Oreochromis niloticus: one gene and its partner. The protein of the gene in region 2 purifies or fractionates together with the protein of the main gene of each other region. This does not show direct contact. Links are inferred from orthologs where the notes say so. Each region holds a gene or a part of one and is shown on either strand. Other genes may lie near its edges.

Region 1 (3,754 bases), on a different chromosome or scaffold from region 2:
GCACTCGTGCACCTAAGTGCAGGGCTGTTGTCTCACCTGTTTGTGCAGCTGCTGTTTTAGCTGAGAAACCTGCTCCTTCAGGGCATCAATCTGGCCCTGCGCTCGCTCCCTGTCTGCACGCTCTGACTTAAAGTCATCGGTGTAGATAAGAACCTTAGGAAGCAAAAAAGATTTTTTTTTAAAAATTTATCTTTCACATTTAGTTATTTGACACTATAACCGTGCTTAACAGAACTCAGCCAATCACCAGGCATGAAATCGCACCAACCTGTTGCTCAAGTGTCTGAATTTGCTCCTTGTCTTGTCTTCTGATGTCATCTATTTCTCTAGCAAGCCTTGCACACTCCCTCATTTTCTCCTCCAGTAAGCCATTGAGCCTGGAAATCTCCTGATGAAGCAATCCAGTGTTGGTGGAGCCCATCGCAGGCATCAAGCCCTGCCCGGTGCTGTCCTTCAGCCTCTGACATAAACCTCTTATATAGTCCTCCCTGCTGGAGTCATACTTCTGCCACTGAGTATTCAGGCTTTGTACCTAAAAGGAAATTAAAAAAACAAAACGTCACACCTTTGATCATGCACCATGTTTTATATTCCACCACTGGAGTGTTAATATTGTGTGCAAAAGTAATTGAAATCTGTTTCCTTAAGGACATAATTAGATCACATGTCTATTTTTTTTCCTGACTGATTTCAGATAACACTAATGAGACTCACGTATGCCACACGCTGCTTTAGCTGTTGATTCTCCTCCTGAAGCTGACGGATTTGGGCATTAAGACTACCCATCTCAGAGGACTCTGGCATCTGTAAAAGATTAGAAAACAGAGGTTACAACAGGACCCTCCTGAAGTGTTGAAAAAATAATAGCTGTATTATAAAGCTATTTAAAAAGAAATTACAAAAGCAACTGGTGACTTCTAAAAGCATTTACACACCTCTGTATTCTTTTGCGTAAGGGCCACATCTTCCACTTCTCCTCCTCCCCTTTTGTCTTTCTCCAGTCTCGCCATCAGCTCCTGGCACACCTTAACAGTTGCACCGAGCTGCCCGCGCAGCTGGTCGGCCTCCTCGGCCAGGGAGGTACAGAGGACACTTCTGGTGGCCTCGGCCCGCTCCCTCTCCTGCAAGGCTACCCGTAGCCTTTGGATCTCCTGGTCCTTCTCGTGGTCCGGCTGACATCTGATGGTCTCCAGCTCCAGCTCTTTCTCCCTGAGCTGAGTGTTCAGCCTCTGAATCTCCTGAGGAACAATGATGACAGATTAATGGCATGGCATGGCAACAACAGCTTGCAACTGATATGTCAGATATGGTCCATGTTTTGTTCCCTGAACACTTCTCCAGTAGAGACTGTAAAATGAACGCGTCACAGTAGACAGCAGCTTACAGTTCAGAGTAACAAACTGATATAAAAAAAAATCTATATATGGTTATAAATCACTGATTAGAGCTGTAGGGAGAAACATCGACTGTGTACAATCTTCAGCATGTTTTTACCTCAGCTTGTCGGGCTGCCTTCAAGTCCCCTTCGTTCTTCTTCTGTTTTAGTTTGCATATTTCATTGAGTAAACTCTCCACCAAAGAGTTGGACGGACTAATGAGCACAGACTCCTTATCTCCCACCGTCATGTAGAGCCTCTCGTGTCTCCCCAGCCTGGCTTTTAAATCTGCAATAACACCGTCCTTTACACTGATCTGTCTGTTCAGAAGGTCTATTTCCTGCCGCGTCTCATGATACAGAGTATTAAGCACGCTGTAACTCCGCATTTTGTCTCTGAGCACGTCGTTATCCGTGTTGTTTATACTGACGTTATCCATTGCGGGTTTTGTAGACTTTGACAGACGCACCAGTCTCTTAAAAATCCAGCATTTGACGCCTCTGCCTCGAGCCCCGTGTCTTCAGAAAAAGACCAACGTCGTCAACTGTCTGAAATTGGGCTCATCAGAGAATAATATCCCCCGAACCGTCTTCGGGGATTTCCTAGGGAACTTCCCCGCGGAGTTTTTTGAGCTTCGTCAAAAAGGAGCCATGCTTGTGTTCAAAAAGGTTCACTGTAGATATCCACAGGTAGAAAAAAAAACATTTTATAGCGTCTTGGCACAACTTGGTAAACAAAGAAACACATATTTTAAATGTAGCTAAAAGTTTAAGCTACGTCTCTTAAAGGCTGAAAAAAGAGAGACGATTGCTGCATTCAATTACGTCGGAAAATCTACTACTCCTAGTTAGAGCGAACAAAAATTAAGTTATGTAAAAAAAAAAAAAATGTTTACCGGTGTTATTAGTGCCACTATTATTATAAGGATGCATAGCTTTGGTTTAGAAGGGAAAAAAATGGAATGGCTTACGCTTTAGTCAACTTTATTTTCTACAAACCAAATGCTGCTTGCTGTAGGTTTTTCTACAGAAAGTATAAACTATAATATTGAAAGGAATATCAGATTATACTAAATGAAAAACGCTAATTTCCCAGCGGTAGTTTACCGGGTTTTTACACATTCAGTCCCCTAAAAGTCACATTAGGGCATTTACTCGTAGAGTGTCATAACAAATTCCCCATGCGCGCCACTCATTTTTGTCAGGCTTTAATTTTTTCCCACAGCTTTAAATGCACCGCAATGCATTGTCATTCAAAGAATTACGCAGTAAGGACCACACCGGTGCCGTATTAATGGTTGATTTTAGGATGCAGCGGTCTATGACTGAACATTGTCATCCCGTTTTTTGTGTGTGTTTGTTTGGTTTTTGTTCTGATATTTTGGGAAGTGACACAATGTCTCTTACGGTAGCAAATCAAGAATTTACCCAAGCTGTACTGGAAGCAGCTCCAGTTCATGGTGACCTCTTGGTACTGCAAAATGGGAATACTCATGAATAAACGGATCTTTACTTTTCTTATGTATTTCTCTTTTTTAAGTGCTACATAAAAAAAGTGTTCACTACAAAAACGTAATTACAGTTGGATGACAAAGAACACCACTGATTCCAATTTAATTCATTATACTTGTTGTTGCAGTTTGTAGCTGGCTTTATATTTATGCAATTTTGTATAAAATACAGATGTAATACATACTGTAGAATGATGGACTGATGTGCTTTTAGCAATGAATGTGTGCTTTGGATGTATAGTCTTAATACGGGTCCCAAGAACCTAGATATTTATGTGGAGGTAATAAATAAATAAATACAACCAATAGATTACAGTGTGTGTAATCGTTTAGCTGAAACTGTTCCAAGTTTACGTGTGTAACCTTTTTCTCAGACACTTTGAACAAAATGCACAGTAACTAGCATATATAGGTCACACTTACTACATTATCAAAACCGTGCTCCATTTAGGTTCATCGTTGGACTACAAGAAGAGTGTACTAAGCATTATCAGGTCAAAATGAAACTACTGTCTAGACAGTAGGAGTACCGAGTTAAAGACCAAGAGTGTTCATCAGTTGTACTGGCCGGTGGGGAGTCCCAGGTATTTCTGGGTCAATCACACCAAGAGACATGAGCGGTGTGAAGCCGTGATGTCGTTTGATGTCACATGGCAGTCATGTGACACTTGTTACAATAGCAAGAATTGAGGTGTAAAGTGTGTAAAAATTGTAGGAAGGTGGGAAGAAGTGTCAGGGTGGAAACTAACTGATTCCACAAAAGATTCTGTCTATAAAAAAAACGAATGCTGACCTGAATCATTTCAGTTCTCTATGGCCTTCTAAAGTCCTTTTACAGTCTTATCCTAGCAACACCACCCCTTCTTAT
Region 2 (3,754 bases):
TGAGCTCAATGAGCCATCCTGGCGACTGTTGGGCAAATGGATCAGTGTTTGCTTACAGTGACAACAGACTAACTTTTCACATTTTGCAATTTTATTGGTTAGGGTGGCATTATTTGACAGTGCACAGAGGATTTTTCAGTTATTATGGGAAATAATACTTAACCTGACAGTTAAAGTTTCTGCAGTCCCCTTCAGCCTGTTACCCACTACTCTCTACCTCACCTTTGGACTAGCTAGCTCGGTAAAATGCATACTTAGATCTATCCATATATTTTCTTCCACTTCTTCCAATTCTGTATTGTGGTTTGTCTGGAGCGTGGAATCCACAGTACTAACCACCACACAGTGTGAGAGCAAAATGTGCAACTTGCATTTAAAATGCTGAAGTTTTGGAGCCAGCCTCGAGTGGCTATTAAAGGAACTACAGTTAATGGCTTCATTTGTATTATAATTATTGTTTTTTTTACCCTGACAGCCTAATCAGGGAGTTCAGCTCAGTTAACTCTGCAAATAAAGTATACATTTAATACATACTTCACAAGGACACTGACTCTTTCTGTATTTAACAGATTAGTTGACATAGTAACATACTGTTATCCTGTTTTTTTGTGCTTTAAGACATCTATTGTTATTAGTTTGTCAGTGATAACTTTAAAGTCGTGTTTCTTTAAAGAAATAATTTCTCTGTTATTATTAACTGATGATGGCATTGTTTTAAGCAGATAAGGACATCCTAATTCCAAGCCCTTATTGCAAACTATTTCCAGTAAATCCTCTGCAGTACATTCACAACAGCGTGAAAAAAAAAACACTGTGTCAACAGTATTCTGACGATAACACCTGACTAGATAGGAAAGTACTCGTTCCTCATTTGTCAATATTTTCCATACAACAGCGTAAGCACGCTGCCTCCCTCCCTCCTCTTTCTCAAGCATAGATCTGCTCAGATAGAAGCAGCATGTGTGGTTTTCACATGTGTCTTTAATGAATCTGACCCTGTCACAAACATCCAGAGGAGCTGTGGGAAGTTACTGTTGAAATTCCAGTCTTGCATTAATCCCAGCTCATGTTGTAAGTTTGTTACAAGAACAAATAGTTCTTCATTCAGCGGCGCTGTTCCTCTTTCACTCAGTAAACATAGCAAATGTCACGCTGGCACCAACAATCTTTGTACAAACAGAGGAGTAATTGGACTGTGAACGAGCAGTATTTGGCAGGTTAAATATTTGGCACGCAGGCCAAGAGCTGTCGAGAAGTCAAGCACAGGCGGGATTTCTAGTCACCGATCAGGAAGACTCACCAGTTTGCAGGCCATTCTCTTCCTGGTGGTGGTGTCCTGAGCCAAGTGGACTTTCCCAAATGAGCCCTTAGGCACGAGGCCAGACCCATGATTCTTGTAGGTCAATTTCCATGGAAACAGGAGCACGTCCATGTTAATCTGGTAGCGGCCTTTTTTCACAGCCATGTCCTTCTACAAAAACAAGATTTGTTTTTAGGAAGGAAAAAAAAAGAAAATTATGCAAGTTTTTCTAGCCTGACCATATAAACTAAACATTCAGGTTACTTTGGAGATTAAAAAAAGAAAAAACAACAAGATCCTCACCTTATTTAGGAGGACTCCCATTTCCTCTGGCAGGTTTGGCAAGGCTGCCGTCTGCATGCTGGACAGGAGGTTGACAAAGGACAGGACCTCTGTCACAGTCCCATATCGAACTCCATTAGCGTAGTCCTTCTGCTCACTCCCCAAAACCACCACCTCCCCTGCCTCCTCATTCTCATCCATCTCCTCCTGGGAAAGTCCTTCTTCGTCTTCCAACGACAAGATTTCTTCTTCCTCCTCTTCCTCCAGCCGATATAGAGTCTCTGCAGCGTTAATAATGTCCTCTAAATTCATGTGAGCCAAGAGCAGTTCTATTCCCGTGTCATATTTGTAATCCATGTTAATGCTCCGTTTGTCCAGCTCCATCTAAAATCAAACATCAGGAGGTCAGTGTGGGGACTGTTTCCGTGCTGACTTGAGTTGTATAAGCGAGCGGATCGTTCATGACTGGGAAGGTTCACGTGGGGAGCAGGACGTGCAGTGAAACTACACTTAAGAAGTGAAGCTTTGATACAGCTGGCTGAACACACAGCTGGGAGGGGCTTCACAGGGCTGTTTTCCAAGCAAAAGAAGGGAGTTTCGCAGTAAAGCTGGGAAGCCCCCCCAGGAAAGCTTAAACCTTATTATACATCTATAAAACAACAACTGCCCATTATTATAACTATTATTATCATTATGATGCTGCGATAAAGAGTTCAGCTCACATTACTCGATGCCCATCATACACATGTGCGTTAATGCAAACTCCACGCAAAATTTGAAATAAATACATAAAAAATAAACCGTATTACGATCCAAACATGCAACTTTAGAATAGCTGCCTAGAAAAAATAAAACAAACAAACAAAAACAGTAGCTGTAGAGCTATAACTAGCTATCTGCCAAATATTCAGCTGCTTAAAGAAAAAATAGAGTTTCGCTGAATAACAGGAGTTGCTTCTTTGAGTGACAGAAAACACGCGTTACCTGCCTTATGAAATTGAGTCGGAAGCTTAAGCGCACTGTTGTGTCTCCATTGTGGCGCCCCGCAGACTGTCTGATGTACGAAGCTCCGTGGATTGTGTTTAGAACGAAGTAAACACAGGAAGTGTGGCGTGTCTGTGGAGGTGGAGTACCTCTTTAGTGTCAGCTGCCAGCAGCCCTCTCTCGCTGTCTTTGTAGGTTTCGTTTTCCCTTTTCTTGTTTCCTCAAATGAAAAAAACAACCAAAAAAACGAAAAGCTTTCAGGACTGTTGGGTGCTTTCCTATCGGGAGACGTGTCTCGTTTAATGTAGGATGCATAATATATCACCAACACTGAAGCTTATTCGTAGTAAATAAAATAAAAAACAAATTTCAATTCAATTTCAAATTTGATACCTTTAAAAGACGTTACAGACTCAACCCAAAGCAATCGGATGATAGTTTTTAAACACTAGAAAGTGTCTTTTCTGGTATCTCTAGGTTGCCGTAGCCAGGACCAGGCGCATGCTCATTTGCGCTTCATTCCGAAAAACAATGGCGTCCTCCTTTGCTGTGTGCAGGTTACATATGAGAGGAAGGGCCAGCCTCGCGAAGTGCCTACAGAAAACCGACGCGTTTCTTCACAGGAGTATAGGAACAGACGTCGTTGTTGCCCAAGCTGAGGCCACTCGAAGTGACGAAAGTGGTTAGTAATTAAGCCTAGAAGAGAAGATGGCCTTTAGGCTAGCCCTAATACACCGCCGTGTGATGGCGAGTGAGCACCATTCCAAACTCCCCTGAGAAACGATATGTTTTTGTTGGTGAAGGCCGAAACCCTAAGTGCGTTGTGCGTTTTACACAATATGTGACCCGTAAGAAATCACTGGGTCATACGTAACATTCGGCACTGTGTTTGTTAACGATAACAACGCGATAACCCCTTTTCGGCTAAAGTTTTATTATATAGAACGTTTTGAGCTTGTACCTGTCATTTGTGGGACATTTATATTTACATAGAAAGTCCCACTGTAAAACTGACCGTTTTTTAAATGAGGTTTGTTGACATGTTCTGGGACAATTGAACAATGAAAACTAGAACTTAACCGACGATACATCACATTTTTTGCATTTTATTATCAATTTGGTGCATCTCAGTCTTTGAACGTTTATCAGTGAAAAACTGACGTGACACACCACAGAATTATTGCCTGC

Evidence for each region. Proteins that work in one complex are often made in the same cells at the same time.
Region 1: the proteins of map3k8 (region 2) and tnip2 purify together in Homo sapiens (affinity purification with mass spectrometry; 3 studies listed by BioGRID and IntAct, with this or other methods). This does not show direct contact. The link is inferred for Oreochromis niloticus from reciprocal best matches to the Homo sapiens genes MAP3K8 and TNIP2.

Annotation. Positions count from the first base shown.
Region 1 is NC_031971.2:13,975,723-13,979,476, forward strand, and holds the start of tnip2 (TNFAIP3-interacting protein 2), read right to left. Parts: upstream 2,176-3,754; 5' UTR 1,816-2,175; coding exon 1,495-1,815; intron 1,239-1,494; coding exon 936-1,238; intron 805-935; coding exon 715-804; intron 533-714; coding exon 269-532; intron 154-268; coding exon 37-153; intron 1-36. UniProt on the Homo sapiens protein: Inhibits NF-kappa-B activation by blocking the interaction of RIPK1 with its downstream effector NEMO/IKBKG.
Region 2 is NC_031974.2:29,561,007-29,564,760, reverse strand, and holds the start of map3k8 (mitogen-activated protein kinase kinase kinase 8), read right to left. Parts: upstream 2,869-3,754; 5' UTR 2,567-2,868; intron 1,967-2,566; coding exon 1,604-1,966; intron 1,472-1,603; coding exon 1,301-1,471; intron 1-1,300. Other genes in the region: mtpap (poly(A) RNA polymerase, mitochondrial), read left to right, coding at 3,068-3,248.